3 linked regions of the Pelodiscus sinensis genome follow. The protein of the gene in region 1 interacts with the protein of each later gene in a pairwise test. Links are inferred from orthologs where the notes say so. Each region holds a gene or a part of one and is shown in the gene's direction. Other genes may lie near its edges.

Evidence for each region.
Region 2: the proteins of MAPK9 (region 1) and WDR62 interact in binary tests that used the Homo sapiens proteins (3 or more experiments, as listed by UniProt). The two-hybrid records come from large-scale screens. The link is inferred for Pelodiscus sinensis from reciprocal best matches to the Homo sapiens genes MAPK9 and WDR62.
Region 3: the proteins of MAPK9 (region 1) and EFHC2 interact in binary tests that used the Homo sapiens proteins (3 or more experiments, as listed by UniProt). The two-hybrid records come from large-scale screens. The link is inferred for Pelodiscus sinensis from reciprocal best matches to the Homo sapiens genes MAPK9 and EFHC2.

Annotation. Positions count from the first base shown.
Region 1 is NC_134727.1:33,229,033-33,239,287, reverse strand, and holds the start of MAPK9 (mitogen-activated protein kinase 9), read left to right. Parts: upstream 1-6,155; 5' UTR 6,156-6,351; intron 6,352-6,415; exon of another isoform or gene 6,416-6,707; intron 6,708-10,255. UniProt on the Homo sapiens protein: Serine/threonine-protein kinase involved in various processes such as cell proliferation, differentiation, migration, transformation and programmed cell death.
Region 2 is NW_027465849.1:5,099,360-5,110,159, forward strand, and holds the start of WDR62 (WD repeat-containing protein 62), read left to right. Parts: upstream 1-5,943; 5' UTR 5,944-6,050; coding exon 6,051-6,155; intron 6,156-6,484; exon of another isoform or gene 6,485-6,841; intron 6,842-10,630; coding exon 10,631-10,722; intron 10,723-10,800. UniProt on the Homo sapiens protein: Required for cerebral cortical development. Plays a role in neuronal proliferation and migration.
Region 3 is NC_134711.1:193,318,212-193,329,232, forward strand, and holds the start of EFHC2 (EF-hand domain-containing family member C2), read left to right. Parts: upstream 1-6,164; 5' UTR 6,165-6,295; coding exon 6,296-6,337; intron 6,338-11,021. UniProt on the Homo sapiens protein: Microtubule inner protein (MIP) part of the dynein-decorated doublet microtubules (DMTs) in cilia axoneme, which is required for motile cilia beating.

The DNA of each region.
Region 1 (10,255 bases):
GTTAGTCTTTAAAGTACTACACAGTCCTGTTTTTGTTTCTACCGCAGAGTAAAGTGTGAGTGAGCATTTTTTCACCCACTTCTCACTCGGGAGAAGGGAAGTAGTGAATGTTTATTCCTGTGTGTGGCAGCAGGCTGATTTTTGTTTTGGTTTTTTTTCTTGTGGGCCAGTGATTGGGGGAAAAAAAGGTTCCCCACCCCTAGTGTACAGTATCCAATGGCTCAAAAGTGGAAGCTAGACAAATTTAGACTGGAAATAGTAAGACATTTTTACAGTGAAGGTAATTAATTACTAGAACAATTTACCATGTGTCATGGTGGATTCTCCATTGTGGACAATTTTAGAAAAACATCCAGTCTTGATTTTTAAAAAGAGGAATTCAAGGGGCAGTCTGTGGCCAGTGTTACACAGGTCAGACTGGATTACCACAATAGTCTCTGTCTTGGAATCTTAGTTTTCTATTATGCTTATCAATCATTGGGTGCAGATACATTATAGCCCTCTGTAGTAAGATGAGAGCTGAAATATAAGCCCATGTATCATAGGCCTGGTTTGAGGCCTAGAAACAGTCAAGACTTTGCTAATATATCAGAGGGTGGCAACCTTATACATCATGGCTGCATCTAGACTGGAAAGTTTTTCTGCAAAAGCAGCTGCTTTTGCGGAAAAACTTGCCAGCTGTCTACACTGGCCGCTTGAATTTCTGCAAGAACACTGACGATCTCATGTAAGATTGTCAGTGTTCTTGCGGAAATGCTATGCTGCTTCCGTTCGGGCAAAAGCCCTTTTCCGGAAATGCTTTTGCGCAAAAGGGCCAGTGTAGACAGCTGAAAACTGTTTTGCGCAAAAAAGCCCCGATGGCGAAAATGGCGATCGGGGCTTTCTTGTGCAAAACCGCGTCTAGATTGGCACAGATGCTTTTCCGGAAAAAGTGCTTTTGCGGAAAAGCATCCGTGCCAATCTAGACGCTCTTTTCTGCAAATGCTTTTAACAGAAAAACTTTTCTGTTAAAAGCATTTGCGGAAAATCATGCCAGTCTAGACGTAGCCCAGGAGTGATGTGTAACTTGTATATAAAATTGTATCTTGGAGGCACTGTCTTTGACCTAGGGGGCACTGTCTCATTCCTGGCACTGACTGAGCTGTGTCCGTTGTTGGGGCTATATATGCATAATGGTTCAGCAGAGTCTATTACTGTACATTTTTTCATATGAAGCAGGCATCACAAATCTCGAGAACACAGGGTGTGGTAAAATCCTTGATAGGATATCAAACCACACAGGAAAAACTGATCAGTTTTCATGCAGAAATTCTCAGTGTTTCTTCCAACGGCTTATCAAACACTTTTGGTTCAACCCCTTCATTCTGTACAGTTGGATAATTGCAATAATATATCAGCTGCTCAGCTTCTACTCCGAAGCATGTTAATATCAACTACAAAACCTGTCCTATGTAGTCTCAATGATAAAATCCAGAACTCCAGCTTTGAAGGATGACTTGACCTTCAGATACAGTGGCTCTTTAAAATGTACAATAGAATCCCCCCATACTGCACTACATTTTTAGTTAAGCTTTTAGCAAATATGAAAAATTAAGATTGTTTTGGTAATACAGAAAGCTATATCTAAAATTTAAAAATCCCCATCTTAAATTATGCATTTTCAAAAATTCTGCATTTGTACTTTTTATATTATGTAAACATAGTTGCGGGCTAACACAGAGGAGCTATTACAAACCTCAAGGGAATTTAACTATAAGAGTGAAGTGCTCTAAGTTCTCACAGCAGACCATTCAAGAATTACCTTAACTCAAGCTTTGAATGTGATTTTTTTTTTAATGGCTCATGCATGTACTTGTCAAGAATTTTTTGTTTGTATATACATACAAGATATTCCCTGCAGAGTTGCTTTTAAATAGAGATGTTTTAATACTTAACTGGATGGCTTGACAGTGCTACAATAGCTGCTTGTAGTAATTTCTGGTAAATAGTTCTGAAGCTCCCACAGTTTGTTTTACTTGTCAAAAGCCAGTACTACACCAAAAAAAGGTATAGTGAAAATCAGGCATGGAAGCCAATGGCATCTGCTGAACAGAATTTTTTGGCAGGTGATGGAAAGGGCTTCTTCTGTTTATTGAGCAGCTAGTTTTCTTGTATTGCCAAAAAGTGCAGTATTAAGGCAATTTGATAACTAGTCTAAAGCACGTTAATTCAGTAAAAAAAATTTTAAAATTACAGTGAGGGGAGACTAGACAGAGGTAGAAATGCTCATTGTGATGTTACACTCCATATCTTTATGCAAATAAGCTTATGATATGGATGACATAATTGAGAGAAGCAAAATGCATTTTGCTTCAGCTACCCCAGACTAACATGGCTACATTTCTATCACTCTTCATAATTGAGAGAGACCTTGAGATGGCTCAGATAAGGTATTGGAAAGGTTATGATTTACTGAATGTGACTATCCAACTTGTATACTTATATCATTTTTGTATCTGAAGTTACATAGTCAATATTTCTATTTGTATTTCAACTATGCTACAGAGAGTAACACCTACTGCTAACACTACAGGTAAAACAATGGAAAAGCCAGACAGGGCTGATGGCCCATCAGTGACAGCAATGGACTGTGAAAAGGCTTCAGAGGGCCCCTGTTAGTCTGTAAGGGTACGTCTACACTACAGTGTTATTTCGAAATATCTAATATTGAAATAGTTATTTCAAAATAAGATATTTCTAAATAACGCATCTACACACAAAATGCATTTCAACATAGCATTTGGCTATTTCGAAATAGCACGTCCACACTGAGCGGACGCTGAATCACATTTAAGGCCGGCTAGAACCAGGTCTGGCAGGGCATCAGGTCAGGAGTTACATTGTGTGGTTGCAAAATGCAGGACAATGTAGCACTTTAAAGACTAACAAGATGGTTTATTAGATGATGAGCTTTCGTGGGCCAGACCCACTTCCTCAGATCTCAGATTGTGTGGTTGCTGCCTGAGGCTATCCGAGGCCTGTGCTTAAAGGAACCCCTCCTGAACAGCAGATTCTCAGGTTTCCCTGCTTGCTTGCCTACCTCGATGAGGGACAGCAAAGCATTTTGTCTCTGCGTGCTCTAGTTGCCCTCACTCGGGACACCACAGCACTCTGCAACATGGAACCAGAGCTGCCCCTGGGCACTCTGGTGCTTCTCGTGGACACGTTGCTGCGAGCCTGACTGCACTTTCTGCAGGCTGCCATCCGGGAGGTCCATCGGGGGGTTGTCAGTATCCAGGAGGCCTTGCGGGAAAGCTTCCACCCTACGGGGCACTAAGAGCCTCCCTGGTCTGCCCCACTGAGGGCTTGTGCGTCATTCTTCCCTCATATCCTTCCACTTACCACTCCCTAACCCCCTTTCTTGATGTAAAATAAAATACATGTATTTTCATGAACACAAACTCTCTTTATTTAACAAAATGGAGGTGGGATGAAACTCTGGTGAGACTGGGGAAAGGAGGAGAGCGGATGGGAGAGGGGAGGGAGAAACCTGGGAGGAGGGAGCTGGAAGGAGGAAGCAAGGGGAAGAAGGGGGAGGGGAAGTTCAGGGTTGGGGAATCTCGCCGGACCAACTTGATTTTCATGCAAACCTACTCCTAGGTTCACATGTGGCCTTTGGTGGCCAGGCTGGCAGCTATCCTGCCATAGATGGCCGCGTTCCCCCATCTAGTGTGGAGATCATGGACGTTGGGGGCACCCCCCCAAACCTGAATAAGGTCCATGATCTCCGCACTGGATCAGGAAGGTGCCCGCCTTCTCCAGGCCCTGGCAAGCTCCTGGGAGCTGGCAGACTGCTCCTGGGGAGTGGTGGAGGACTGGCTGCCAGTGGCTTGCTGGCTCATGTTTTGGGGCCACTAGGTCAGGAGTAGTGACTGCTGGCTCTGGGCTGGCAGGCTTGGAGCTGGCACAGGCACTGTGGCCAGAGTCTACCTCTTTAAGGGCTCCGGGGAAGTGGGGAAGGGAGAGGAGTGTTCTTGGTTGAGGCCAGAGTGACCACCAGGGCACCCTGGGAAGGGCTGGAGGCCCCCTATTTTGAAATAAGTGTCTACACAGCACTTATTTCGAAATAGCAATTTCGAAATTGGCGTGACTCCTTGTGGAATGAGGTTTACCAATTTCGAAATAAGCCCTCCGCTATTTCAATTTAATTTCGAAATAGCGGTTGGCTTGCAGACACTAGGAAATTTATTTAGAAATAACAGCTGTTATTTCGAAATAACTTTGATGTGTAGACATACCCTAACTGAAAAAACATTAAGGTCCTGCAAGACTATTTGTTTTTTTAAGTTTTTTTGTGTGAAAAGACTTGGCCTTCCTGGGGACATTCCATACTGCCACTGACTCATGGATGCTGTGATCCTACGGCGTTAAGTGATCTGGTCACCTGTTACTAGCCTCCATCTTTGAGTGTTGGACTTTTCCACTTGGGAGATGGGGGAATGAAAGGATTTGTGCCGTATGGAAATCCTATAAGATGGAAGAGGAAAACAATCAAAGCCTTCAGTTTGCTTCTCCTCTGCCTCCACACCCAAAGAGATGCTTGAAAATAACAGGAAATAAAAGGACCGGAACAGGGTGGGAGAAGAATTGCCTGATTCAGGCTGGCAAGATACTTGGCCTGTAAAATAATCTACCTAAATAATATCTAGGGTGAGGCATTATTGTTTGTTAGCCAACTGACTTAAGCAGTTTGCATGCTTTGTATTTTCTTAGCAAAGAGAAGAGCAGATTGCTATCTGTTATAAACACTTTAGATCAATCTTTATGTAGTTAAACTTATTTCTTTACAATATATCCCAGTTTATGTAATTTCTAGTGGCAGTGGGGGAGAGAAATTTTGCATATCTTACTCCACATCAACAGAGGAGGCAGATTTTCATATAATGTTGGGCTTGCACTTTAAGGGAGGTGGCCACCTGCGTGCTGTGGCAAGTCCCTTAAACTGAGCCTTCCCACAGCTGGTATCAATGTCGGTATCATGCTGCAGTTGGGTGCAACCCCTGTGTGTGCGTGCTCTGAAGACGTTTAAGAGCCTGACACAAGGAGACAGGATTAAAGGATGCCCAGACTGGCAGAAAAGGCAAGCTCAGTGTTACCTCAGCCTACCAGGGGGTCCAGCCCATCACAAGCATTGAGTCACTTACCACCCATTGATGTAGATTGTGTTAAGGTTGTATTTTTTTAGTCAGTAGCAGTTTTACAAAGCAAGCAGTCTGAAGATTGAGGTGGGGAGGGAATGAGTACGGAAGAGCAGGCTTGTAATGTAGATTTTTGTGAGTTCGGTGGCTAAATATTTCCCCTCACTGGGCTTTTAATGCTCAGTCATCCTCTACTCTAAACACATACTGTGGCATTTTACACCAATGCTGTGGATTACAAGAGCTATTCATATGTTTAACAACTAACAGAGTGGGGGAGGCTGTGCTACCTACAGTGACCTCCTTCCCCCTTTTCCAGTGGTGGCTATGCGGTAAGGAAATGTGGCAGCCATGCATTGCCGAATCACTGGAATGGTTCGGTAGCAGCAGAGTGGTCACCTCCTATCACAGTCTCCTACAATTTTGATGGAAAGCAGACTCATTGTGATGCAATGAGCGCCCAGCTCCATCCTGACAGGAAGGGATGGCATCAGCATGTGGCAACATGAGGGTCTTCTTATGACGTCAGGGCTAGGCACGACAGCCGTTTGCTGCGAGGGACTGACCTCGCCACCCTGGGGACAGTAGAGTTGCCAGCTGGTTTCAATAAAAATACCGGACACACTTGACATTACATCACAATCTACACTGCATCTTATTTAGAAAATACCGGACATTTCTATTTTCTCAATCTGTTGCGGGAACAGAAAGCTCAAATACTGGACTGTCTGGTACAAAACCAGACCCCTGGCAACCCTACCTGACACTGGTGCTTTGCCCTGAAGCGTTGACTGGCATTGTGGTGTGAGATGACATCACACTTATGACATCACAACAACGGGAACAGGCTAACACAGATTGGTGACGTCATCACCACGAGGAGCTTGCCGTTGCCACCCAGAAAACGATCCCTCAGACCCTCCCGCCTCTACTGCAGTCCCCCCACCCTCCTTATGTAGTGGCTAGCGCGGCCCGCCCCCACGGCCTGATTGGCTGCGGCCGGCGAGCGGGGAGCAGTGGTTGGGCGGCGTGGCTGTCTGTTAGCGGGTCCGGACCTGGCGCGGCCCGTGAGGGGGCTGTGACGAGAGAGGCCATTGTGGCGAGGGAGGCCCGGGCAGGCGGAGAAGCGAAGCGGCGACCGCAGGACCCGCGCGCCGAGCCTCAGGCGGAGACGGTGAGGGGGGAGGGGCGGTGCGGGGGAGAAGGGGAACCAACGGCCGGGCGGTTTCCGTTGGCGGGCGGAACGGGGAGGGGGGAGGAGTCTCCAGGCCTTGGGGGAGGGGGCGGCGGCTCGCGCGAGACCCTCGCCCGCCACTGCGCGCGGGTGCCGCGAGCCCGCCTCCCCTCAGGGCGAAGCTGTCGCCGGAAACTTTCCCTGCCGCCCCTCCTCCCGCGCTCTGGGGCCCGGCCTGGCCCTGGAGCTCCCCCGCAGCGGGCCGGGGCGCTGTATTTTCGCCAGGCCCCCTCCCCCCGCTGCCGCAGTCTGTCAGAGCCGCGAGCTCCTGCCCGGCTCGCATCCTCCCGCCTCAGGTGAGCGCCCGCCCGCCCGGCCGGGAGGTGCCGCCGGAGGGAGGGCGGCGCGCGAGTAGCCGAACTGCAGGGCGAGCTGTCGCCGCTGCGGGTGGGATCGCTCCGTGGGAAAGTCCTTGCGACCCGGCTCCGCCGGAGAACACGAGCAGCCGTGATGGACAGGCCCGCTACGACTCGGCTCTTGTGGGTCTAGTGCAGGGCGGGGTTCTCTAAACCCCGCTACCCTCTTCTGGCGACAAAAATGACACCCCCCCCCCCGGCCGGTGTTCCCTCTCAGCAATCCCATCCACGTGTGGAATAATGTTATGAGCACGGAAGCATGTGCAAATGTGCACCACCATAGAAACAAAACATAGCTGTGGGCGCTCTGCTGGGCTGCAGTTGAATTTCTCCTGAGGCGCCACACCAGTGCCCATATTACACTGCCTGCAACCCCATTAAATGTCTTATGGGGTCTGCGGTTAACTGTTAGTTTAGCCTGGGGATGTACTAAGCCCACAGTGGGTTCTGCAGTAGGAGCTGGCAAACTCAGTTCTGGCATGTGCTGGTCCCAGCAGCTGGTCCTGCTGTCAAGCTGCGGCTCTGCATTTAAATTTGGAGGCAGCAGGCAGAAATGCAGAGCTGCAGCAGAGTGGGGTCAGCTGCCAAGACCCGGCATGTGCCTGGACTGAACCTGCCTGCAGGCTCCAAGCTCAAATGTAAAGCCGTGGTGGGGGTAGGAGGGAGGGGCAGCCAATTCCCCAGGGGAGCAGCATTTTACTGGTTACATTAATCAATAAGTATTGTTTTATCAGTTAACTGGTTAAACTCTTAACATCTCTTAGTATATGGCAGGGCTATGTCTAGATTGCATCCCTTTTTTGGAAGAGGAATGCAAATTAGACGTATCGCAATTGCTAATGAAGCGGGGATTTAAATCTCCCCTGCTTCATTAGCATAAAAATGGCTGCCGCTTTTTTTCGGCATGGAGCTTTGCCGGAAAAAAGCGCCATCCTAGACGCAGATCTTTCGGAAGATAAAGCCTTTTCCGAAAGATCCCTTATCCCTCTTAAAATAAGGAATAAGGGATCTTTCGGAAAAGGCTTTATTTTCCGAAAGATCTGCGTCTAGGATGGCGCTTTTTTTCCGGCAAAGCTCTGTGCCAAAAAAAAAGCGGCAGCCATTTTTATGCTAATGAAGTGGGGGAGATTTAAATCCCTGCTTCATTAGCAATTGGGATACGTCTAATTTGCATCCCTTTTCCGTAAAAGGGATGCAATCTAGACGTAGACCAGGAGTTGTAGCAGTTTATGCTGTCTTAGTTTACTGATTTCCAAGAATTAATTCACTGTCAATATTATTAGTTTGAAAACTGTGTATTCTTAAAAGCCTAATGCTCCAGGGTGTTTGGAGCCATAGCTGGGCTCGCAACTGGGACACCAGAAGTAGGACCAAAAGCTGGGAGTTGGCCAATAGCAGGGGCTGGAATTGCGGCCAGGAGCAAGGGACAGAAGCAGGCCTAGGGTCGTGGCCAGAAGTGGGGCCCTGGGCAGGCCATAACTGCCTGGGAGCAGGGGTACAATTGGGAATAGGGCAGGGGTGGGCCCCAGCTTGCCTGGATCTGGCCCCTGAGGCTTAGGGCTCCCCCCTCCAGCACTGGGGAGCCTGTGCTGGCACCCCAATCTCTCGCTCCCCCACGGAGCTGGAGCACACTGAATCTACTAGCCTAGGCCCCCCAGGCCCCGGTGTGTGAGGGGAATGTGGAACGTGTTTTTCTCCTTAGTTAAGGGCCACATCAGTGAGGATTAGTCTTTTGGTTTTTTTTGTTTCTCACTTGCGTGCGGGCCCCCAACTGTTATTTCTGTGGGTCAGTGGCCCCTGACCCCAAAAAGATTCCCCATCCCTGGAATAGAACCTGAGCCATGGCTCGGAGCCGATACCAGGGCTGGACCTGGGCTTGAATTAGGGTTGTTAAATTTAGATTAATTAACTAATTGAATAGTCAGTGGGATTTCCATTGACTATTCGATTAGTCCAGGGGTCTCCAAACTACGGCCCGCGGGCCGGATGCGGCCCGCGAGGCCCTCTCATCCGGCCCGTGGAGACCTTTTTGTCTACGGAAAAAAAATTACGTGAAGAACAATTTGAGAACAAACTTGTCCGATGATAATCTCAGGTCACTGTTGATGTTAGGGACAACAAATCTAAAGCCAGAAATGTCTGCTATTTTGGCATCCAGGAAACAATTTCACCATTCACACTAATACAGGTGTTCATGTGTAGTGTATCAATGTGTTATTAAATAATAACTGAATAAAATAATATTAAATAATTAAAACAACATCCATGTTTTGATTGTTTTTTATTTGGACCTCAAGTGTGTAGTCGGCCCCCGAACTGCTGTTTGATAGTTAATGCGGCCCTCGGGCTGAAAAGTTTGGAGACCCCTGGATTAGTCTATAAGGGCGACTCCGCTTTTGAACAGTAGCAAGAGCCCTACTGGGGTTCTTGCTACAGTTCAAAGGCGGAAGCACCCCAGGGAGTGCAGGGCCAGCAGGAGAATGGCCCTGCAGTGCCTGAGCCTTTGAAATGTACAAGAGCCCCAGCGGGCTCTAGTACATTTCAAAAGGAGGCCCCTCTGAAGCTCTTGTACATTTCAAAAGCAGAATCACAGCAAAAGCGTTTCCACTGTCCCTCTACCTCCTCTACCCCCCTGCAAAGACTGTGCTAGGGGAACCGGCTTTTAAGCCGGCTCCCCCCCAACTCCTGCTCCCCCCCTTTGCTTCCTCTCTCTGGTAGAGGCAGCGAGGGGGGAGGGAGAGCGACTAGTCACATCACTAGTTGACTGTCTGACAAGTAAGTGCATATCAGATGGTCAGCTAATCAACTAGTCGTTTCCATCCCTAGCCTGAATAGATCTGGGAGCAGAGTGGGGCTAGATAGTGCTCCCTCCCTGACTTCTCTTCCCCTGGTGCCTCTGAATGTTTCTTCACACCACTGCGGGGTGTGAGCACCCCACAGGTTGGGGACCTCTGATCTAACAGTAAGGTACAGGCTGAGTTTAAGTGCATTTATGCTAGAAAAATTGTTAGTCAAAAACAAAGTGACATTGAGTCTTTCCACATCTTGTCTCAGTGATTTCATCTTTTAATGTATAAATTTGGCAGATTAGATCTTTTTATGCTACCTATCAGGCTTGGAATCAGTCTGGGATTTAAAAATCAAGTTATGATCCTTGAGATTCTTTGCCCTTCATTGCCAGCAATAAAGAGTCTTCAGCAAAAACATAATCAGTTTTGTAGAAGTATATTTCCCCAGGGTTGTATTTAGAGTGCAGCACTAATAGTAGTAACTTGGTTTGGCTATGAAGTAAGCAGATGTGACTTGAAGATACACAGAGAATGAATCTGCTTAGCAAAAACACGCCACTTTTGCTTAGGCACTCTACTGACTACAATTACACTTTAAATAGTGTATATTTGCTAAAATGTATTCACAAGTTTAGTGCATCTGAAGTGCTGTATTATGTTGTGCTTCTGGAACTTTTCTCATGGTTGCAACAACTTGTT
Region 2 (10,800 bases), on another chromosome or scaffold:
TGTTTGTTTAAAGAGCCCTCCCCCAAGGGTTAAAAACTCAGTCCTATAGGGTACTGGGCTTTTTGCAGAGCACACCAAGTGATGAGCCCTCCAGGGGTAAAACAGCAGAACCATTTCCTTCTGCCCAAACAGCCCCATGTTTAGAAGAGAACATGGCACTCAGCATGAAAAGAGGAAGAGGAATTAAGTGCTCTAAGCTAAGCCAGTCAGAGGTAAATAGAAGATGTGCTCCTGAGACTGTTCTCTAGAAGCAGAAAACTTCCCAGGTCTAGCAAGAATAAATTCAGGTTATTTATTTAAGTTTACTGATGACTGATGATTTATTTAATGTAGGCTGAATTTATTGCACACATAGGGACTGTATGTTTCCATTTCCTCTCTTTTTCTCCAAGGACTGTGTTCTCTAGCTTCCCACTCAGGAGTTAAGCAAAATAAATAAATACATTAAATAAAACAGCATGGCCCCTTTCAGAGTGCATGCAGAGTCAGAATAGAGATAGGAACAGTGGAGAAGTTGAGCACTAAGACCCAGAGAAGACATTGTTTTCCCCTTGGTCTTGAGGCTTTTTGCCTGTGGCCATTTTGTTTTCTTGATCAAGCCAGAACACAGCTTCCCTGTGGAACCAGGTAAGCAGGGAGTCTGGGGGAGGGAGACTGGAGGTCTTGGGGGGAGGCTGGAGATTGGGCCCAGTTATCCAGTGTGTCGTAGGGTTGCCTGGTGTCTGGTATTTTTGCCTCCTGTCTGGGAAAAAAAAATCAGAAAATATCAGACATTTTAAGTGTCTGGTATTTTCTGATTTTTTTTTTTACTGGACAGGAGGCAAAAATACCGGACTGTCTGGATCAATACCAGACACCTGGCAACCCTAGCTCTGTGTGCCCCTATTTCCCGTTCCACTGGTAAAGGTGACCACCTTTGTTGGACAGAAATAAGGGAAAACCACATGGAAAAGTAAGGGATTACTTAATTTTAAGGGGTATTTTAAAGAAACGCTGTTTCCCTTAGCAAATCGTAAGAACAGCCATACTGGGTCAGACCAAGGGTCCACCTAGCCCTGTGTCCTGTCTTCTGATAGTGGCTCATGCCAAATGCCCCAAGAGAATGAACAGAAACAGGAGATCATCAAGTGATCCCTCTCCGGTCATCCATTTCCAGGATCTGACAAACAGAGGCTGGGGCACCATTCCTACTCAATTTGAGTAGTTCTTTTTTGAACCCTGTAAAAATCCTGGTCTTCACAACATCCTTTTGCAAGGATTCCACAGGTTGACACTGCACTGTGTGAAAAATAACTTAAAATCATAAAATCCTAGGGCTGGCAGAGACCTCAGAAGTCATCGAGTCCAACCCCCTGCCCAAAGCATGACCAACCCCAACTAAATCATCCCAGTCAGGGCTTTGTCAAGTCAGGATTTAAAAACCTCTTGGGGTGGAGGTTCCACCACCTCCCTAGGTAACCTATTCCAAAACTTCTCTTTCTTTGTTTTAAATCTGTCACCTATTCATTTTATTTGATGACCCCTAGTTCTTATGTTATGGGAAGAAATATATAACTTTTCCTTATTAACTTTCTCATTCCTTATTCACTTTCTCCATACCTATCATGATTTTATAGACCTCTATCATATCCCCTCCTCTTTAGTCTCCTCTTTTCTAAGATGAAATGTCCCAGTCTTTTTAATCTCTCTTCATATGGCACCTGTTCCAAACATTTTTGCCCTTTTCTGAACCTTTTCAATGCCAATATCTATTTTTTGAGATGAGGCAACCACATCGGTACCCAATATTTAAGTTGTGGTCGTATCATGGATTATATAGAGGCAACAAGATATTCTCTGCTCTTATTCGCTATTCCTTTTTTAATGATTCCTAACATTCTGTTGCCTTTTTTTGACTGCCGCTGCACATGGAGTCGATATTTTTCAGAGAACTATCCACAATGGCTCCAAGATCTCTCTCTTGAGTAGTTATAACTCAATTAGTCCCTACACATTTTGCATGTGTAGTTGGGATTATTTTCCAATGTGCATTACTTTGCATTTATCAACATTGAAATTCATTTGCCATTTTGTCACCCAATCACTTAATTTGGTGAGATCTTTTTGAAGCTCTTCACTGTTTGCTTTGGTCTTAACTATCTTGAGCAGTTTAGTATCATCTGCAAATTTTGCCACCTCACTGTTTACCCCTTTCTCCAGATAATTTATAAATAGTTTAAATAGGATTGGTCCCAGGACAGACCCTTAGGGGACACTAGTTACCTTTCTCCATTCTGAAAATTGACCATTTATTCCTATCCTTTGTTCCTGTTCTTTAACCAGTTATCAGTCCGTGGGAGGACCTTCTCTCTTATCTCATGACAACTAACCTTTCTTAAGAGCCTTTGGTGAGGGACCTTGTCAAAGGCTTTCTGGAAATCTAAGTACACTAGATCCACTGGATTCCCCTTGTCCACATGTTTGTTCCCCCCTTCAAAGAACTCTAGTACATTAATAAGACATGATCTCATTTTACAGAATCCATGTTGACTTTTCCCCAACAAATTATGTTAATCGGTATTGATGTCAGACTTACCAGTCTGTAATTGCCAGGATCATCTCTAGAGCCCTTTATAAATATTGGTGGCACGTTAGCTATCTTCCAGTCATTAGGTACAGAAGCTGATTTACAGGATTGGTTACAAACCACAGTGAATAGTTCCACAATTTCACATTTGAGTTCTTTGGAGAAAACCAAATGGGCAAAATTTGGGGTTGGAGGTGGGGGTGGAATGGACATAATCTGATAGCACAGCCACAGTGTCCTGTGCCACCAGTGGTACTGAAACTAGAGGTGTTGGGGTGCAGCAGCATCCCCTGGCTTGAAGTGATTTCCTTCAGAGAATCATAGAGTTGGAGGATCAGGAGATCAAGTCCAACCACCCACTAAAAGCAGGATCAATCGCAATTAAATTATCCCAGCCAGGGCTTTGTCAAACTAGGATATAAAAATCTCTAGGGATGGAGATTCCAACACTTCCCAAGGAAACCCATTCCAGCACTTCACCACCCTAGTGAAATAGTTTTTCTGAATATCCAACCTAGACCTCCCCCACTGCAAGTTGAGACCATTGCTCCTTGTGTTATCTGCCACCACTGAGAACAGTCTCTCCCCATCCTCTTTGGAACCCCTCCTTTCAGGAAATTGAAGGATGCTATCAAATCTTCCTTCATTCTTCTCTTCTGTAGACAACCCAAATCTGTCAGCCTCTCCTCATTAAGGTCATTAATAAATATGTTGAAAAAAAACCCAGCCCCAGAACCAACTCTTGGGGCACTCCACTCAATACCAACCACCACTGATCACTACCAATTAAGCCCAACAATCTGGCCAGCTTTCTATCCACCTTATAGTCCAATTCTCCAATCCATACTTCCTTAACTTGCTGGCAAGAATACTTTGGGAGACTGTATTAAAAGCTTTGCCAAAGTCAAGGTATCTCATGTCCACTACTTTCCCCATACTCACAGAGTCAGTTACCACATGACAGAAGGCAATCAGGTTGGCCAGGCATGACTTGACATTTGTGAATCCATGTTGACTGTTCTTATCACTGTCTCCTCTTCTAAGTACATCAAAATTGATTTCTTTAGGATCCCTGCCATTATTTTTCTAGGACCTGAGGTGAGGCTGACCTGTCTGTAGTTCCATGGGTTCTCCTTCTTCCCTTTTTTAAAGACAGGCACTGCATTTGCCTTTTTCCAATTGTCTGGAACCTCCCCTGATCACCATGAGGTTTCAAAGATAATGGCTGATGTTTCTGCAATTACATCTGCCAACTCCCTCAGTATCCTCAGATGTATTAGATCCGGCCCTTTGGATTTGAGTGTGTCCCACTTTTCTAAATAGTTCTAAACCTGTTCTTTCTCCACTGAGGGCTGCCAACTTCCTCTCCATACTGTCCAGTACAGTAGGTTGGGAGCTGACATTGTCTGTGAAGACAGCAGCAAAATAGCATCAAGTACTTGAGCTTTTCCCACATCATCTGTCACTAAGTGACTGCTCTCATTCAGTAAGGGTCCCACACCTTTCCTGATCACCTTCATATTGCTAAGATGTTTTTAGAAGCCTTTCACACCCCTTGCTAGCTGCAATTCCAATTGTGCTTTGGTTTTCCTGATTACACCCCCTGTATGCTCAAGCAAATCATCTGTCCATGTTTCCACTTCTTGTAAGCTTCCATTTTGTGTTAACGCCTGATAAAGATTTCACTGTTAAGCTAAGCTGGTTGCTTACCATATTTGCTTTTCTTACTGTGCATTGGGATCGTTTGTTCTTGCACCTTCAATAAGGCTTTTTAAAAATGCAGCTAGCTCTCCTGGGCTCCTTTCTCCCTTATGTTAGCATCCCAGGGGATTCTGCCCATCAGTTCCCTGAGGGAGTCAAACTCTGCTTTTCTGAAGTCCAGAGTCTGTATTTTGCTGCTCTCTTTTCTTCCTTTGTTCAGGATCCTGAATTCAATCATCTCATGATCATTGCTTCCCAGGTCATCTACTTCCCCTACTAATTCCTTTCCGTTTGTGAGTAGCAGATCAAACTGAGCATGGCCCCTGGTTGGTTCCGTCAACGCTTGTACCAGGAAGTTATCCCCAACATTCTCCAAAAACTTCCTGGTACAAGTGCTGGAGGAATCAACAATGGGTTAAAAAACTCATTTACAGGGTTTGCCGTTTTGTTCAATGGCATTCAGTACACCTACTATAAAAATATTCCATTGCCTCTGAGCACCACAGCAATTGTCTGTTGCTCAAACAATGGTAATACGGGACTTCATCTTTGTTCATTTTCTCAATTTGGAATTTGGCATGTTGACAATATGCTGTTTATCTGCTTTCTGTCTGGGAGGTAAGTTCTATCTGAAGTGAGATTCAAAAGACTGGGACTTTTCAACTTAGAAAAGAGATGACTAAAAAGGGATATGACAGAGGAGTATGAAATTGGGAGTCGTGGGGAGAAAGTGAATAAGGAAATGTTATTAATTCCTTCACAAACACAAGAACCAGGAGATTTCAATAGGCAGTAGACTTAAAACAAAAAGAAGTACTACTTCAGCCAATGGCACCCATTGCCAGGTGATGTAAGAAGGCAGAAATTATAATGGGTTTTAAAAAAACCTCTAGATAAGTTCCTGGGAGATATAAGACCATCTTGGCTAATAGCCATTTGCTGGGCCTATTTTTAAGTTGCTTAACTGGGAAAGAGGCAGGTGGAAATAGCAGGCACAAAGTTCCTTCCAGGGGAATAGAAATGGGGGACCTTGTTGAGGAAGCAAGGGAGAAGGCAAGGTTCACAGAGCTTTCAATAGAGATGCAAGGAATTTTTTAGGATGTGCAGTAAGTTCAGTGTATACAAGCTATGAAGCATGTTGTGACCCTTTCAGTTATGTTAAATCTTTTCCTTGTGGGGTCTGAAGTTATCCAACAAGTCCCTCCTGGCACAGAAAGATCATGGAGTTCAGTGGGAGTCTGTTTATTCAGAGAGCTTGAACCGTTAGGTGCTAGTTTTCTCTTCACAAACTAATGGTTTAATTGCTTGTAACTAGGGTTAAATGTATTTAGTTTCAAATAATTATCGCATTCCATTGAGGGGGCTGGGATTCGAACCCAGGACCTAGAGGTACCTGCTGTGTGTTAGATCCTAACAGAACCTCCCTGGTGGAGATGAGGGCGGGATTGTACGGTAGCTTCGCCACCATTGGCTGAACTTGAAAATGATTGACTTCACTCGCACCCTTCAACTTTTGCGTCTGCCGTCTTCCATAAAAGGCGGGATTTAAGGCAGCGCCGCCACTATTGGCTAAGGGAGGGATGAATAGCATACGCATCACCCAGTGGGATGTAGGGGGCGGGATTTGATGGAAGATCCACCCCTATTGGATAGCGGAGATATTTGACGTGGGCGGCCACCAATGGGACCGAGGAGCTGGGATTCCGCGCGCAGTTCGGAGCGGTTGCGGAGGGTAGAGACGTCCCAGCGGCGGGACACCTGAACGGGGGAGGGGTCCGCAGCCATGGCGGGGGCCGGCTCCGGCTTCTACGCCCGGGGCGGGGGCGCCGACTCGCCGCCGCTCTTCAGCCTGAGGAGGAGATCGAGGCACCAGGGGCCGGAGGAGGCGGTGAGTTGTCGGGGGAGGCTGAGGCGATAGTGGGCGGGGCTTGGTGATAAAGGGGCGGGGCCAGGAGGAGGGACGAGCAAGCTGCATAGGGGGCGGGGCTTGGAGCGAGATGAAGGGATGGGGTGGGCGGATGCAAAGGAGGCGGGGCTTGGACAATTGGGGGCGGGGCTTGGGAGGTGGAGAGGGACTGAGACCAGGGCAAGGAGTGGGACTTAAGGGGCGACATGGGGCGGGTCTGAGAACTTTTGGGGCTGAGTGGGTGGCTGACTTAAGCAAGGGGGGTGTCTTGGGGGGAGAGAGGTGGGAGGGGGCTATGACTTGAGATCTTCCTGTGCGTGTCTCTCCCAGCCCCCTTTGGATGTAGAATGCAAATCCTGCCCCTGGGCAAGGACAGGGGGCTTGGTGGGTCTCACGGTCTTTGGGGAATGGGTATGTGGCTCTGTGCGTGTTTGAGGATGGGGATTAGCAGGTCTCAGTGGGAGCAGGGGGTCTGCGTGGGAAGAGTTACAAGTTCCTAAGAGCCCCTGGCTGCTTCAGGAGCCTGAGTGGTTACACAGTTTGTCATCCCGTTTGACCTCTGCGTTTGCTTGTTGCCCTCATGGGCTTTCTCTTCACTGTACGCAATTCCCTCTCTCTCCCTTGGCTAAATAATTAAGTGAATCTAGAAATCCTTGAGGAGACACATCGTGAGTTGTTCTTTATTTTGACAAAGTGAGCCCTTGGTGTGTTTTTTGTCTGGGGGTAAATAACCTGTTTTCCTATCTTGACTATGCTTTTGCCTTGAGGTAGCTCAGGTGTTATCATGAGATTAAAAACTCATACCTTTAAAAGCAGTGAAGACCAAGCTATTCCCTCCAGCTCTGGTTGACCCACAAACTAAGATCCTGAAGTAAAAACTACAGAGTCTTGTCTCCACTATTGTTTTCCAGGGAGTTAGCTGTCTTGATGTACACACATCATTTTATACTTAAGTTACTGTCCTATCTTCTGATTAGTCTGTTTTTCTTGTTTATAGCTCATTCAGGATTCCATGTTCCAGTGCAGTGAAACAGCAGGAATTGTTAATGTCTAAAAATGGATGATATTTTGAAAATCATGGAAACTGATTTTTACAAAGCCTACTTTTAAAAAAGTCTTGTGACCACATCCCTTCAAAAGTAGCAGATTGGAATCCTGAATGAACAAAACATTTGAACAAAACATTTAAGTTACCAATGTCTCCATTCACATTTCTGTTTTTCCTTTCAGAGAGATTGTATCCACATCTAAGTCTTTGCAGGGAGTTGCAGGGTCTCCCTGCTGTGCCATGGATTTCGTTCTGTGACCTTAGACAAGTTACTTATTCCATTTCTATGCTGTAGTGCAGGGCTACTCAACATGTGTCCCATTTGTTTGCGGCCCGCGGAGCAGTTTGGTTTTACACGAGGCTCAACACGCGGCATGCGGGTGGGATCATTTGGACATGGCCTCCACAATGGAGAGGCGTCTCCCAGGTGGGGTGACCATTCAAAAACGCAAGCGGAAAGGCTGGCTGGAACAGACGGGTACAAGGTGTCGGCGTTTCTAGCCCCCAAGGAGGAGGTCCCGGGAGTGCCGGGGCACTGTGGGCAGTGGTGGCTGCTTAGTGTTGTGGGTAGAGAGCTGCTGACCTGACTCACAGTGGCCACGTTTGGGTCTGGTGCTGCAGCTTGATTTTTGTATTCATGCCCGTCAGTGTGAAAGAAGCTATTTGCATATATATTTGCATATATATGCAACCACACTTAAGTTGCGGCCCTTGGCATGTGCTGTGAGTATTATTGTGGGCTCCCCCGCCGGGGCTTCCAAAGTTGAGTAGCCCTGCTGTAGTGGCACAACGATGGGGCTGCAGCTGCGCAGTTTTAACACTATAGTGTAAATGCTTCCTCCATTCAGGGATAGGGTTTTCCTGTCAATTTTAGTTAATCCACGTTTCTGAGAAGTAATGGCGATTGATAACAGAAACTTCACAGAATTCTTCCAAGCTATCTGTATTTACACTGGTGATTAGGTTGACGTAACTGTAGAGCTCAGGGCAGGAGATTTTTCACTGCTTTGAGTATGTCTACACTTGGTCAAGAAAACTTGATCAACAAAACTTTTTTTGTTCACCGGTGATTTTAACCCTCTTCTGAACAAAAGTTTTGCCGAGGCAAGTGAAAGTGTGAACACCTGCTTTGTTGACAGTGGTGCCCTGCTGTTGACAAAGCAAAACCCCTTCATTGGTGGTGGAAGTATTTTGCTGACAAAAGTGCACATTTGCACATGCAGACTTTGGCTATGTCTATACTGCCAAGTTTTGTTAATACATTTTATGTCGACAAAACAAAAATAGCCAAAAGGTGTTCGCACTTGCTCCCTCTGTCAACTGATCATGTCCACCCTGGGGGCCAGAGGTGACTGATGATGGGGATGGAGGGTGTGCCGGCCACTCTTCCTCCCCCACCTGGAAAAGGGCTGGGTTACCCCTCTTCTGCCCCAGGCTCCACCCCTACTCTTCTCCACTTGCTCCGCTCCTCCCTTCCTCCTCCCCCAGACAAGGTGGTCCAGGGGACTAGTGGGGCCACATGGTGTCAGTGGCAGGATTCCATGCTGCCCTCCCCCTGCACTCACAGCAGCAGCGGGGAAGGTGCAGCAAGTGTGTGGGGCTGCTGGCTCCTGGTGCCGGCCCCGCTGAGTGTTGGTGGTGGGGGGACAGGAGCGGATCCCACTTACACAAGTAACATGTTAAACATAAGGTTTAACCGGTTAACTGACTTAACCAGGATTTTACATCCCTACTGGTTGAAGCCAGTTCTGTCGAACAACAAACTGTAGAGTCTACACTGGCTCCTTGTCAACAATAAAAGAAAGGGGAAGGGGGGAAAATAGTCTCTCATAGGAGTGGAAATTGTGTGTGTCAGAAACTGGGAGATTCTCCCAACAAAATTTGCATAGCAGCATGTATCCTTTCATGGTTTTGTCATGAAAAGGCAGTTTATGTCGACAAAACTTGATAGATACTTACTTTGTAGCAAAATGGGCAAATGGGAGCTGTGAAGATTTTGCTGGAAGTTGGGACAGTGCATGAAGTTTCCTCCCTTTTCTCCCCTGGGTGCACGGCGCGGAGAGGCACATGGCCTCAGCAGCTGGCCATTTTGAGCCACTTGGGGCTGGGGCAAGCAGGGAGCCTGCCTAGAGTCCCACCGGGCTGCTGGCCAGGAGCCGCCTAGTGAGTGCCACCCAGCCAGAACTTGTATCTGGCATTCAAGCTCCTCCTGTACCACAGTTCCCTGCCCCAGGTCACATCTCCCTCCCAAACCCTGCATCCCCTTCTGCATCCCTCCTCCAGGCTAGAAACCTCTTCGCCATCCATATGCCATTTCTGACCCTGTAGCCTCTGCTGCACCCCAATCTCCTGTTCCAGGTCATAACTCAAACCCTCTGCATCCCTCCTACACCCCTCTGCCAGGTCAGAATCCTCTTCTGTACCCATACCCCTTCCCAGACCCTGCACCCTAATCCCCTCCCTCAGGTCACCATCCCTTCCTTCACCCAAACTACCTCTGAGACCCCCAAGCCCTCTCCTTCTGCACCCAAATCCCTTACCCTGAGCTTCCTTCTGCACCCAATCTTCGTCCCAGACTCCACACTCCCTTCATAGAAAGTTGTAGCCCTTGAACGCTTTCTAAAATATTGGAATCCCCGCCCCATCAAAAATTATTGCCCACCCCTGCCTTAGGCTTTCTGGCTCAGATCCTCAAAGGTTCTCAATAGTACTCAAGCATTGAAATACCTTTGAGAAGCTGGGCCTCAGTTCCCCATCTATAAAATGGGGCTACTGCCTACCTCACCGGAGTGTAGAGGATAAATGCTTTAAAGATAGAGAAGTGTTCAGATACTGTGGGAGTGGTATGGCCCGATAAGTACCTACACTGACACTTATATTGTAATAGCTAGCTTGAACAGGAATGTGGTAAAAACCCACTCCTGTGACCAACATAGCTAGGGTCTCCCCTCCCCCTCCGTGTAGGCACAGCCAGGCTGAAAGAAGAGTACAACATCCATCTGGGGGTGGTACTTTTTCCACATAGGAAGAAAAGTCTTTTATGTCACTGGTAGGTTGCATCTACACTTGGGGACTGTGCCAATAGAGACTAGTATACACATAGCCTAAGATACTTATTTTGATCTCTAGTTCTGGAAGATTGCAGAAAAAATATTTCCAGGCACTTTTTAAAAGCCTGAACATATCTTCTTTAATGATTAAACAGTGCTTCCATTTTTAATAAAGTTCAGTGTTAAGGTGGGAGCTTGTGCATGATTATTTGCTTGAATTTTCATTGGTTCCCTCTTACCTGATTGGGAAATCTTGTTTTCCTACTTGCCTCAAGAAACCAATAATTGGAAGTTATAAATAATCTCTTGCAGTTCTGATTGCACTGGTCTTCAATATTTTTCTCCCTTTTTTTGGGCAGGTTATGCTTGAGAAAGTGCTGGGAATAACTACCCAAACCAGTAGCGGTTTAGCTTGTGACCCAAATACCGGGCAGATAGCATATCCTGCAGGGTAAGTGACTAAACGTGAAAATGTATAAGTTTATGATTTGTCTGTCTCAATGATTATAGCAGTATTTCCCAGTTGGTG
Region 3 (11,021 bases), on another chromosome or scaffold:
AGCTATCATCTTTGAAAAGTCATGGAAGTTGGGAGAGATTCCAGAAGACTGGAAAAGAGCAAATATAGTGCTCATCTATAAAAAAGGGAAACAAGAACAATCCAGGAAACTACAGAATTGTCAGTTTCACTTCTGTTCCAGAGAAGATAATGGAGCAAATAATTAAGGAATTAATCTGCAAACATCTGGAAGAAAATATGATGATCGGTAACAGTCGGGATGGATTTGTAAAGAACAAATAATGTCAACCCAATCCGATAACTTTCTTTGATAGGATATCAAGCCTTGTGGATAAGGGAGAAGTGGTGGATATGGTATACCTAGACTTTAATAAAGCATTTGATACGGTCTTGTATGATCTTTTTATCAATAAACTAGGGAAATACAAGCTAAATGGGACTACTATAAGGTGGGTGCATAACTGGCTGGATAACCATTCTCAGAGAGTAGTTAACAGCTCACAATTATGCTGGAAGGGCATAACAAGTAGAGTTGTGCAGGGGTCTGTTTTGGGATTGATTCTGTTCAATATCTTATCAACAATTTAGATGATGGCATAGAGAGTAAGATTATTAAGTTTGCAGATGATACCGAGCTCGGAGGATAGGGTCATAATTCAAAATGATCTGGACAAACTGGAGAAATGGTCTGAGGTAAATATGATGAAGTTTTACAAAGACAAATGCAAAGTACTCCACTTAGGAAGGAATAATCAGTTTCACACATATAGGCTAGTCTACACCACTTCCCTCTTCTGCAAAAGCCTATGCAAATGAAGCACGGATTGGCATATTACCACACATCATTTGCATAATTAATTAGGAGCCATTTTTGCATAAGAGGTTTTTCCACAAAAAGGCGCCATCTACATAGCGCCTTTTATGCAAAACCCCCCTCTTGCGCAAGAGCCATTCTTCCTAATATTTTCAGGTGAATGGCTCTTGCGCAAGAGAGGGTTTTTGTGTAAAAAAGTGCTGTGTAGACGCGCTTTTTTGCGCAAAAATGACTCCTAATTAATGATGCAAATGAAATGCAGCAATATGTTAATCCGTGCTTCATTTGCATAGGCTTTTGCGGAAGAGGGAAGCTGTGTAGATGTAGCCACAGAATGGGAAGTGACTGTCTAAGAAGTACTGCAGAAAGGAATGCAGGGATCAAAGTGGACCACAACTAAGTAGGAGTCAACAGTGTGACAACAGTGTTGTAAAACAAGCAAACATGATTCTGGGATGTATTAACAGGAGAGTTGTGAGTAAGGCACGAGAAGTCATTCTCCTGCTCTACTCTGCACTGATTAGGCCTCAGTTGGTGTGTTGTTTCCAGTTTTAGGCACCATATTTCAAGAAATCACAGAATCATAGAATCATAGAGCTGGAAAAGACCTTAGAAGGTCATCAAGTCCAGGCCCCTGCTCTCGGCAGGACCAATCCCAACTAAATCAACCTAGTCAGGGCTATGTCAAGCCGAGACTTAAACACCTCTAGGGATGGAGACTTCACTACTTCCCTAGGTAACCCATTCCAGTGCTTCACTACCCTCCTAGTGAAATAGTTTTTCCTAATATCCAACCTGGGCATCTCCCATCACAACTTGAGACCATTGCTCCTTGTTCTGCCATCTGTCACTACTGAGAACAGCCTTTCTCCATCCTCTTTGGAACCTCCCTTCAGGAAGTTGAAGGCTGCTATCAAGCCCCCCTCACTCTTCACTTCTGCAGACTAAACTGACCCAAATCCCTCAGCCTCTCCTCATAGGTCATATGCTCCAGCCCCTTAATAATTTTGGTTGCCCTCCCCTGGACCCTCTCCAATGCGTCCACATCCTTTTTGTAGTGGGGGGCCCAGAACTGGACACAATACTCCAGATGTGGCCTCACCAGAGCCGAATAAAGGGGAATAAATTAAACACTGGTTAAACACTGGAATAAATTACCCAGGGAGGTTGTGGAATCTCCATCACTGGAGATATTTAATGGCAGTTTGGATAGACATCTATCAGGGATGATCAAGACAATGCTTGGTCTTGCCATCAGGGCAGGGGACTGGACTTGACGATCACTCGAATTACCTTCCAGTTCTAGTATTCTATGAGTCTTTGAAAGTTTACATTTCTGCTTATTTGTTTTGGCTCTGATAGGGCTTTAATGATAGGAGTCCATGCTGATTGAAAAGTCACACTCACTTCTGTATTTTCACACCTTTTTATAATTGTCCCTAACTAATTTACATTAAATTTTGCAGTACTTTCTCAGCCCTTTCTGAGTTGAAAACTGAGGTATTGAGAAGTATTTTGCAAATGCAACAATATCATGTTATTAGCCTATAGCTTAATATAAATGTCCATAAGCAGTTGTTATGAAACAGCACTAGTCTATTTAATCTTTTTCTTTGTTTAGCTTATGTAGTGAGGTCACAACAGCAAAAAAAAGACTGGACAAAAAATTCTATTTTGCTCAGAAATTTAAAAAGTAGAAATAATTTGTCACCATGAATTAACAGTGTAATGTATTTGAAAGTAGAATTTTTTTTATTCCAGTGTTTAATCACTCTGCCTGGAAGGTACCTCGAGAGATCATCAAGTCCAGTCCCCTGCTCTCATGGCAGGACCAAGCATCGTGCCGATCCTAACTGACAGATGTCTATCCAAACTGCCCTTAAATATCTCCAATGATGGAGATTCCATAACCTTTCTAGGCAATTTATTCCAGTTCTCTGAGCCTATGTTTCACAGGGGCTTTCAAACAGGATTTAGGATGTTGGACGTCCAGAAGTGTAAAGAAACTTCTATAAATAAATCACAAAAAGAATATTAGTATAATGTAAGCATTCCAAGATGCTTTGTGTCAGTGTCCTTCAAGCCCTCTGTTTCAAATGAAAGCTACTGGAATTTAAAGTTTTGCTGCTTGAATATGCACTGTGTTTCCTAAGGGACTACAGTGAACCCTCGTTTATCGCGGTAGATAGGTTCCAAACCCGACCGCGATAGTTGAAAATCCGCGAAGTAGGGACATGTATATTTAACATGTATACAGTGAGCCCTCGCTACTTCGCGGTTCGACCATCGCGGATTCACGTATATACATAATGTAATGAAAAAAGTCCGCGAAGTCGTGAATCCGCGATAGTCGAACCGCGAAGTAGCGAGGGCTCACTGTATACAGATAAATAAAAGGTATTTATTGAAATGGATATAGAAGATATATGTATCTCATGGATGTCTTTAGAACTTTAGTCAGCATAGAAAGTGGTTAGGCATTTGAATATTGCAAGCGCTACATACACACAGCGAGCGACCTTTTTAAAATTTGCACAACTCTTTGAAAAACTTCTTTGAAACAAGTATCAGAGGGGTAGCCGTGTTAGTCTGAATCTGCAAAAGCGACGAGGAGTCCTGTGGCACCTTATAGACTAACTGAAGTGTAGGAGCATAAGCTTTCGTGGGCAAAGACCCACTTCGTCAGATGCATGTAGTGGAAATATCCAGAGGCAGGAATAAATATGCAGGCCAGGATCAGGCTGGAGATGATGAGGTGATCCAATCAAGGAGGATGAGGCCCACTTCTAGCAGCTGATCTGGAGGTGTGAATTCCAAGAGAATAGAAGCTGCTTTTGTAGTTAGCAAGCCATTCACAGTCTTTGTTTAATCCAGAGTTGATTGTGTCAAACTTAAAGATGAACTGTAGCTCAGCAGTTTCTCTTTGAAGTCTGGTCCTGAAGTTTTTTTGCTGCAGGATGGCTACTTTTAGATCTGCAATTGTGTGTCCAGGAAGATTGAAGTGTTCCCCTACAGGTTTTTGTATGTTGCCATTCCTAATATCAGATTTGTGTCCATTGATTCTTTTACGTAGGGACTGTCCTGTTTGGCCGATGTATATAGCAGTGGGGCATTGTTGGCACATGATGGCATATATTACGTTGGTGGATGTGCAGGAGAATGTACCAGTGACAGTATGGCATTCTGTAAACTGCGATACCCACACGAGGAAGTGAGGAGACAGATTGACAGAGCCAGACGTGTACCCAGAAGCCTCCTGCTACGGGACAAGCCCAAGAAAGAAACCAACAGAACACCACTGGCCATCACCTATAGTCCCCAGCTAAAACCTCTCCAACGCATCATTAGCGATCTTCAGCCCATCCTGGACAATGATCCCTCGCTCTCACAGGCCTTGGGAGGTAGGCCGGTCCTTGCCCACAGACAACCCGCCAAACTGAAGCATATTCTCACCAGCAACTACACACCGCACCATAATAACTCGAACTCAGGAACCAATCCTTGCAACAAACCTCGGTGCCAACTCTGCCCACATATATACACCAGCAACACCATCACAGGACCTAACCAGATCAGCCATACTGTCACTGGTACATTCTCCTGCACATCCACCAACGTAATATATGCCATCATGTGCCAACAATGCCCCACTGCTATATACATCGGCCAAACAGGACAGTCCCTACGTAAAAGAATCAATGGACACAAATCTGATATTAGGAATGGCAACATACAAAAACCTGTAGGGGAACACTTCAATCTTCCTGGACACACAATTGCAGATCTAAAAGTAGCCATCCTGCAGCAAAAAAACTTCAGGACCAGACTTCAAAGAGAAACTGCTGAGCTACAGTTCATCTTTAAGTTTGACACAATCAACTCTGGATTAAACAAAGACTGTGAATGGCTTGCTAACTACAAAAGCAGCTTCTATTCTCTTGGAATTCACACCTCCAGATCAGCTGCTAGAAGTGGGCCTCATCCTCCTTGATTGGATCACCTCATCATCTCCAGCCTGATCCTGGCCTGCATATTTATTCCTGCCTCTGGATATTTCCACTACATGCATCTGACGAAGTGGGTCTTTGCCCACGAAAGCTTATGCTCCTACACTTCAGTTAGTCTATAAGGTGCCACAGGACTCCTCGTCGCTTTCTTTGAAACAGGAGCTGGTGAGAAAACAGGTTATTTTCCCCAGGGAAAATTTCAATTTTTCTGCAAAAAGGTTTGAGTTACTTGGGTGCCTCATGTTTCCATTTTTCTCTTTAGGCTGGGCTCCCTAATCAGACAATATGGCCTGTGATGCATCACAGTCTTCTTCTCTCCTAGTGAAGAGACACTGCATTATAGGAATTTTATGATTGTGGTGCATCAAAGGAACTGAAATCTGGCTGAGGAGTCAGGTCAGGGCTATGTAGAATAAGGATATGAAACAACTGAACTACACTGCCTTTGAGGCACTGTGGGGGCATGTTAGAATAAAAGCATTTTTTTTGGCGAAAAGATGTCAGCTATTGGACAAAAAATAGGATCCGTTTCATTTTGGACTGTTCAGGTTTTCTTTTATTTAATTACAAATTGAAATCTGAAAAAAGTAAAAAAAAATCCAATTTTTTGTGAAAAATGGTTTTGAGGAAAGTTATTGACCATTCATATGTGAAACACAAGGACAGACAAGCCATTTAGCTGCTGCTTTTCTGGACTATGTTTTGGAAGGGCATCCAAAATGCCCCGAAGATAGTGTCTTATTCAAAGCTTAAACCTCCCATTGGACACTGTTAGCTTTGGTTTGTGCTCACAACTCTGCTCACCACTATTTACGGTGGGAACCCGAGTAAAACATCATCAGGAGCGTTTTTCTTTTTAATTGCAGTGATAACGTAGTTGAACGTGTTGACAGCATTTCCGTAGTGCCATGTTATTCTGGAAGGGCAAGGAATGGGCCTGGGGAGCAGAAAGTGACATTCGCGCGGAGCTAAGCGCCATGGTCGGTGCTGGGCACCATGCAAGAGCGAACAGAAACAGCCCGCTGCGGGTCGTGTTTTTGCACCTTCCGGGGGTGGAGGCACTTTTCTCCACAGCCACCAGGCCTGGACACCGAGCGCCCCTGAGAGGGGAAGCCAGACTGAAATGCCGCCCGGAGCCTCTGAATCCGGGACCTGGAGCTGGAGGAGCAGCGCCCGCCACCCGCCACGCACCGCGCCCGGCCAGTCCCTGGGAAAGCACCGCAGCCCAGCCCCGGGTCTGCTTCCACACGGGCGGGGTCTCCCGCAGGCGCACGTGAAGCGACCGGCCCGAGCCTCCAGGGGGCAGTCGAGAGCAGAGCCTTCCCCAGCCGGGCCACCAATCGCGGCCACGAGACCTCCTCCTGTGATGTCAGACGCAGGTCGCTAGGCAACAGAACCCCAAACAGCGCGTGGACGTTCCCTCTCCGCCTGGCAGCGCAGGGGGCGCGAGCGGCCGGGGTCCGGGCAGCAACACCAGCCCCGGGGCGGCGCCGGGCTCGAGAGCGGCACGAGCGATGGCGCTACCGCTCCTGCCCGGGAACTCCTTCAACCGCAGCGTGAGTGACAGCGGCAGCCCCGCCCCCCTGCCCATAGCACGCGCGCCCCTCGCTGCCTCTAGCCGCCACTGCCCCCCACAGTGCTGCCCCCTTGCAACGCTCTTCCCCCGGCCACCCTGCCTAGCCCCACCGGCAACCTTCCTGCACCCATCACGCTGCCTAGCCCCTCTCCTGCACCGCCTGCTCCTGTGCCCCCTTGCACTTAGCAATGCCTGCACCAGAGCCCCCACTCAGCCGCTTCACCTGTACCTAGCAGCCCCCACGTAGCTCCTTCTGTGCTCTTTACCCATCACACCTGCCCTTCACAGAATCCCTACTCCCGCTCTCCAGCATGCCTGGCACCTAGCACAAGTTCCTCTGTCTGCACCAGAGCCCCATCTGCATTGCTTCTGCCTTCTGGTACCCTCAAACACATTCTTGTAGCTCCTTCACCTGTCTCCTGGCACCTACCCCATAAATCCAAGCCCCCCCCAGATATCCTTTTTAATCACTCCCACCTACTCAAACACACACAGCTTCCCCTAGGGTATGTCTACACTACCCCCCTAGTTTGAACTAGGGTGGTTAATGTAGGCAACCAGAGTTGCAAATGAAGCCCAGGATTTGAATTTCCCGGGCTTCATTTGCATATTGCCAGGCGCCGCCATTTTTAAATGTCCGCTAGTTCGGACTCCGTGCGCGTGGCTACACGCGGCATGAACTAGGTAGTTCGGATTAGGCTTCCTATTCCGAACTACCAGTACACGTCGTTCCACGAGGCGTAACGGTAGTTCGGAATAGGAAGCCTAATCCGAACTACCTAGTCCGTGCCGCGTGTAGCCACGCGCACGGAGTCCGAACTAGCGGACATTTAAAAATGGCGGCGCCTGGCAATATGCAAATGAAGCCCGGGAAATTCAAATCTCAGGCTTCATTTGCAACTCTGGTTGCCTACATTAACCACCCTAGTTCGAACTAGGGGGGTAGTGTAGACATACCCCTAGTTCTCTTCTATTATATGCTCCCCCAGGAATCTTCCTTGCATACTACCTAAACTTCCTCTGATGCCTTTGTTTTCTCATATGTGGGGAAATAAGGATAATTATAGTTGGCTCCTCTGGTGAAAAGTGCTGTGAAAGAAAGAGCCAAGTGGTGTTGTTGCTCCCATGCAATGTACTTCCCAAGTGCACTCTAATGGACCCCAATTGTTGCCAAGTATTCCCTCACAACATACCCTTCTCTAGCATGATCATTTCTAATATGTCGAGTATCAGAGGGGTAGCCGTGTTAGTCTGAATCTGCAAAAGCGGTGATGAGTCCTGTGGCACCTTATAGACTAACCGAAGTGTTGGTCTATAATGCTGCTAATATGCTTGCTCAATATACTGTATACAAGTATAGCTCTTGATGGAACTCAAGATGTGATTGCTTCATACTGTCAGGTATACTTATCACATTCCTAGAAACCAATACATTTAAAATGAGTGTGCTTGTCCCATGAAAGAAAGGAGGGTAGGTCTGATTTTTAGAAGATTGTTCAAAATGTTAACTGCTGATGTCAGGCATTGATAGTGTTTGCATCTGATGAACTGTTACTATGAACATGGTCTAGTAGCAAGTGTAGATGAGATCAAAAGTAGCTTGTCCTTGTCTGTACTTGTAGGTCAACCATGTTTCAGCTGTACCTGCGGCTAATGCCCACTGTTAGGTATATGTTTTTTTTTGTTTATATGAGGCTTTGCTTCCAATACACTTACCTGCTCCGGCCTTCTCTGCAGTGGAGAATTATATATGTGATTAAAATATTAGTCTTGGCCCACCTGTAAGAGGTATACTACATTGTCCACAGTATCAATAATATTTGACTTGCACTTATCTATGCATCCACACACAAATGTGAAGCAAGCAGATTACCCTTATGGGTCAGTGATAGGAAGACTAATTGTCATGTTAGTTAATTGTTAATGCTGCTTCTGTTTGTGAATATTGTAATAATGCAAGCTATCATTGTCTAAGAAAAATTTTATTCAGACTGCTTACAACAAAAATATAAAGCATGCCTTTAAAGCATTTGTAGCAAATCTGAGAGGAGAGAGGCAACTTTCCCCTTGTGTATCAAAAAATCTCCAATATAGGGAAGGTAATATAAGGGTTCTTTCTTCTGCTTCCATTGAAGTCAAGGGAAAGACTCTCATTGAATTACTTGGTAGCAGGATTGAGCTCCACATTAGTTGTCACAAGCAGACTTAATTTAAATTCTGGAGTTTGCCACCTTCTTATTCCATATTTATTGAGCAAAATTTTGTTACATTTGTAAAATTTCTAATTTTGAGGGCATAAGTAAAAAATAAACATACTTAGCAATTAAGGAAGAACTGAGAAACTAACCAGTAATTTTTAGGACAGTTTGAACATTGGTTATTTAAATAATAAAGGAAAATGGAGACAAAAATACCATTTTTTAAAAATCTCAAATAAAAAGCAGGACACTTCAGGGATAAACAAAGTTAAGGACAATAATACGTCATTCAGAGCTGACAACATCATTATTTATATAAGTATTCATAGCTGTAAATATGGGAAAAGACAAGATTCTTACCATGAGCTCTAAAATAAAAACAAATAGAGTTTAAGCCGCCATCACTTTTTCTGTCCAGAAAGGATGGGGAAATTTAAACAATAAATCTGCTGAATATATTTTTGAATATCAGTAGGTAAATCCTTAGAAGTGAGTGTGCCAAAATGAAGTTCAAGTTAGGGATGTCAGCTGTTAATGAGTTAACTGTGTGATGCTTGCCAGTTAACTGGCAGCCTGCCTGGGCTGGAGCAGCCCCCTGCTCATATGGTGGTCTAGGGGCCCTGGGCTGGCCAGGCCCAATGCACCACGAGCGTGGGGAGCAGCCCCTGTCTTGTGGTGGCCCCAGGCAGGCTAGAGCAGCCCACTGCGCCATGGGCAGGGGGGCTGCTGCAGGCTGGACTGTTCCTGCCCTCTTCCCCCACAGGATCCCATTTAAGCTTAATCATAAAGTTTTAACAGATAAACTGATTACATGGGATTTTACATCCCTAGTTTAGGTTCAAAGGCTAAAGCGAACATTTAAACTACATTCCACTCAGTCATGCGGCTTCTTTCATCTATTTAGTAATCAAATTGCTCAATTGTACACTATACCTCCTTTTTAATAGAGGAACTCCTTTTAGCTTAATCAGTAGAGGTCTGTGTTTTGCTAGGGATTCTCTCACTTGCTGCTATTCAGTTCTGAACAAATTCTGAGAACCATGAAGGTTCTACTTGATTGCAGCTTGCATACAGTAGTTGGCTTCATATTTTAGAGGTATAGATAAGGATTTCATATATATGGGGTGTGTATATAATATTACGTATACAGGCAGTCCCCGAGTTACGCGGATCCGACTTACGTCGGATCCGCAGTTACGAACGGGGCCGTTCCTCTCCCTGGTCTCCAGCAGACCAGGGAGAGGAAGCAAAGCAGCGGAACACGTGGGCAGCAGACAGGGCTGTCCGCTGCCCACGTGCTCCGCGGTTTGGCTCTGCTTTGCTCTGCTTTGCCCCCCCCAAAATCGCCCTGGTCTGCAGACCAGGGGGACGGGGGGGGGGGGCAAAGCAGAGCCAAGCAGAGCCAAGCCGCGGAGCGCGCGGTCAGCTGTCAGCTGGCCGCGTCCTCTGCGGCTTGGCTCTGCTTTGCCCCCCCCCCCCCCTAGTCTGCAGACCAGGGGGACGGGGAGCAAAGCAGAGCAAAGCCACGGAGCCCGAGGGCAGCAGGACAGCCACGGCGCGTCTGGGCTGTCCCGCTGCCCCCGTGCTCCGTGGCTTTGCTCCGGACACCTGTGGTACAGCAGCTGGGGCGCTGCCAGTTGGTCCCGTAGCGCCGCTCTGGGCGCTACTGGACCAACCGGGCAGCACCGCAGCTGTTCTGCCCCAGGCGTCCTGATTCAGCCACTGCTGGTCAGATTCAGCAGCGGCTGAATCAGGACGCCTGGGGCAGAGCAGCTTGGGTGCTGCTGGGTTGGTCCAATAGCGCCGAGGAGCGGCGGCGCTACTGGACCAACCCAGCAGCACCCCAGCTGCTCTGCCCCAGGCGTCCCCAAGTCAGCCGCTGCTGAAACTGACCAGTGGCTGACTACAGGAAGCCCCTGCCCCGGGCTTCCTGGAATCAGCCGCTGATCAGTTTCAGCAGCAGCTGACTTGGGGATGCCTGGGGTTCTTAAGTTGAATCTGTATGTAAGTCAGAACTGGCATCCAGATTCAGCCACTGTTGAAACTGATCAGTTTCAGCAGCGGCTGAATCTGGACGCCAGTTCCGACTTACATACAGATTCAACTTAAGAACAAACCTACAGTCCCTATCTTGTACGTAACCCGGGGACTGCCTGTAGTCAGAACTCACCAAATTGTATATACTTATACATGAACGTATGCATGTGTGCGCACACACAGTATACAAGATCTAATTATGAGCATCATTTTCAAAAATCAGGTCACAGTTAAGATAAGACAGTATAGAAGAACACAACAGAACCCCACTGTACCATTCTCACAGCTTCTGAGGTGGCCTTCGAAAGGTGACATCTGCTGTAGTGTAATAGTGAGGCTCAGTTTTGCTGAGGCAGTTCTACCCACTGCTTCAGGTGTTGGCTGTCGAACTTAATTTTGAATTCACATAGTGTGACAAAATAGAGGTCC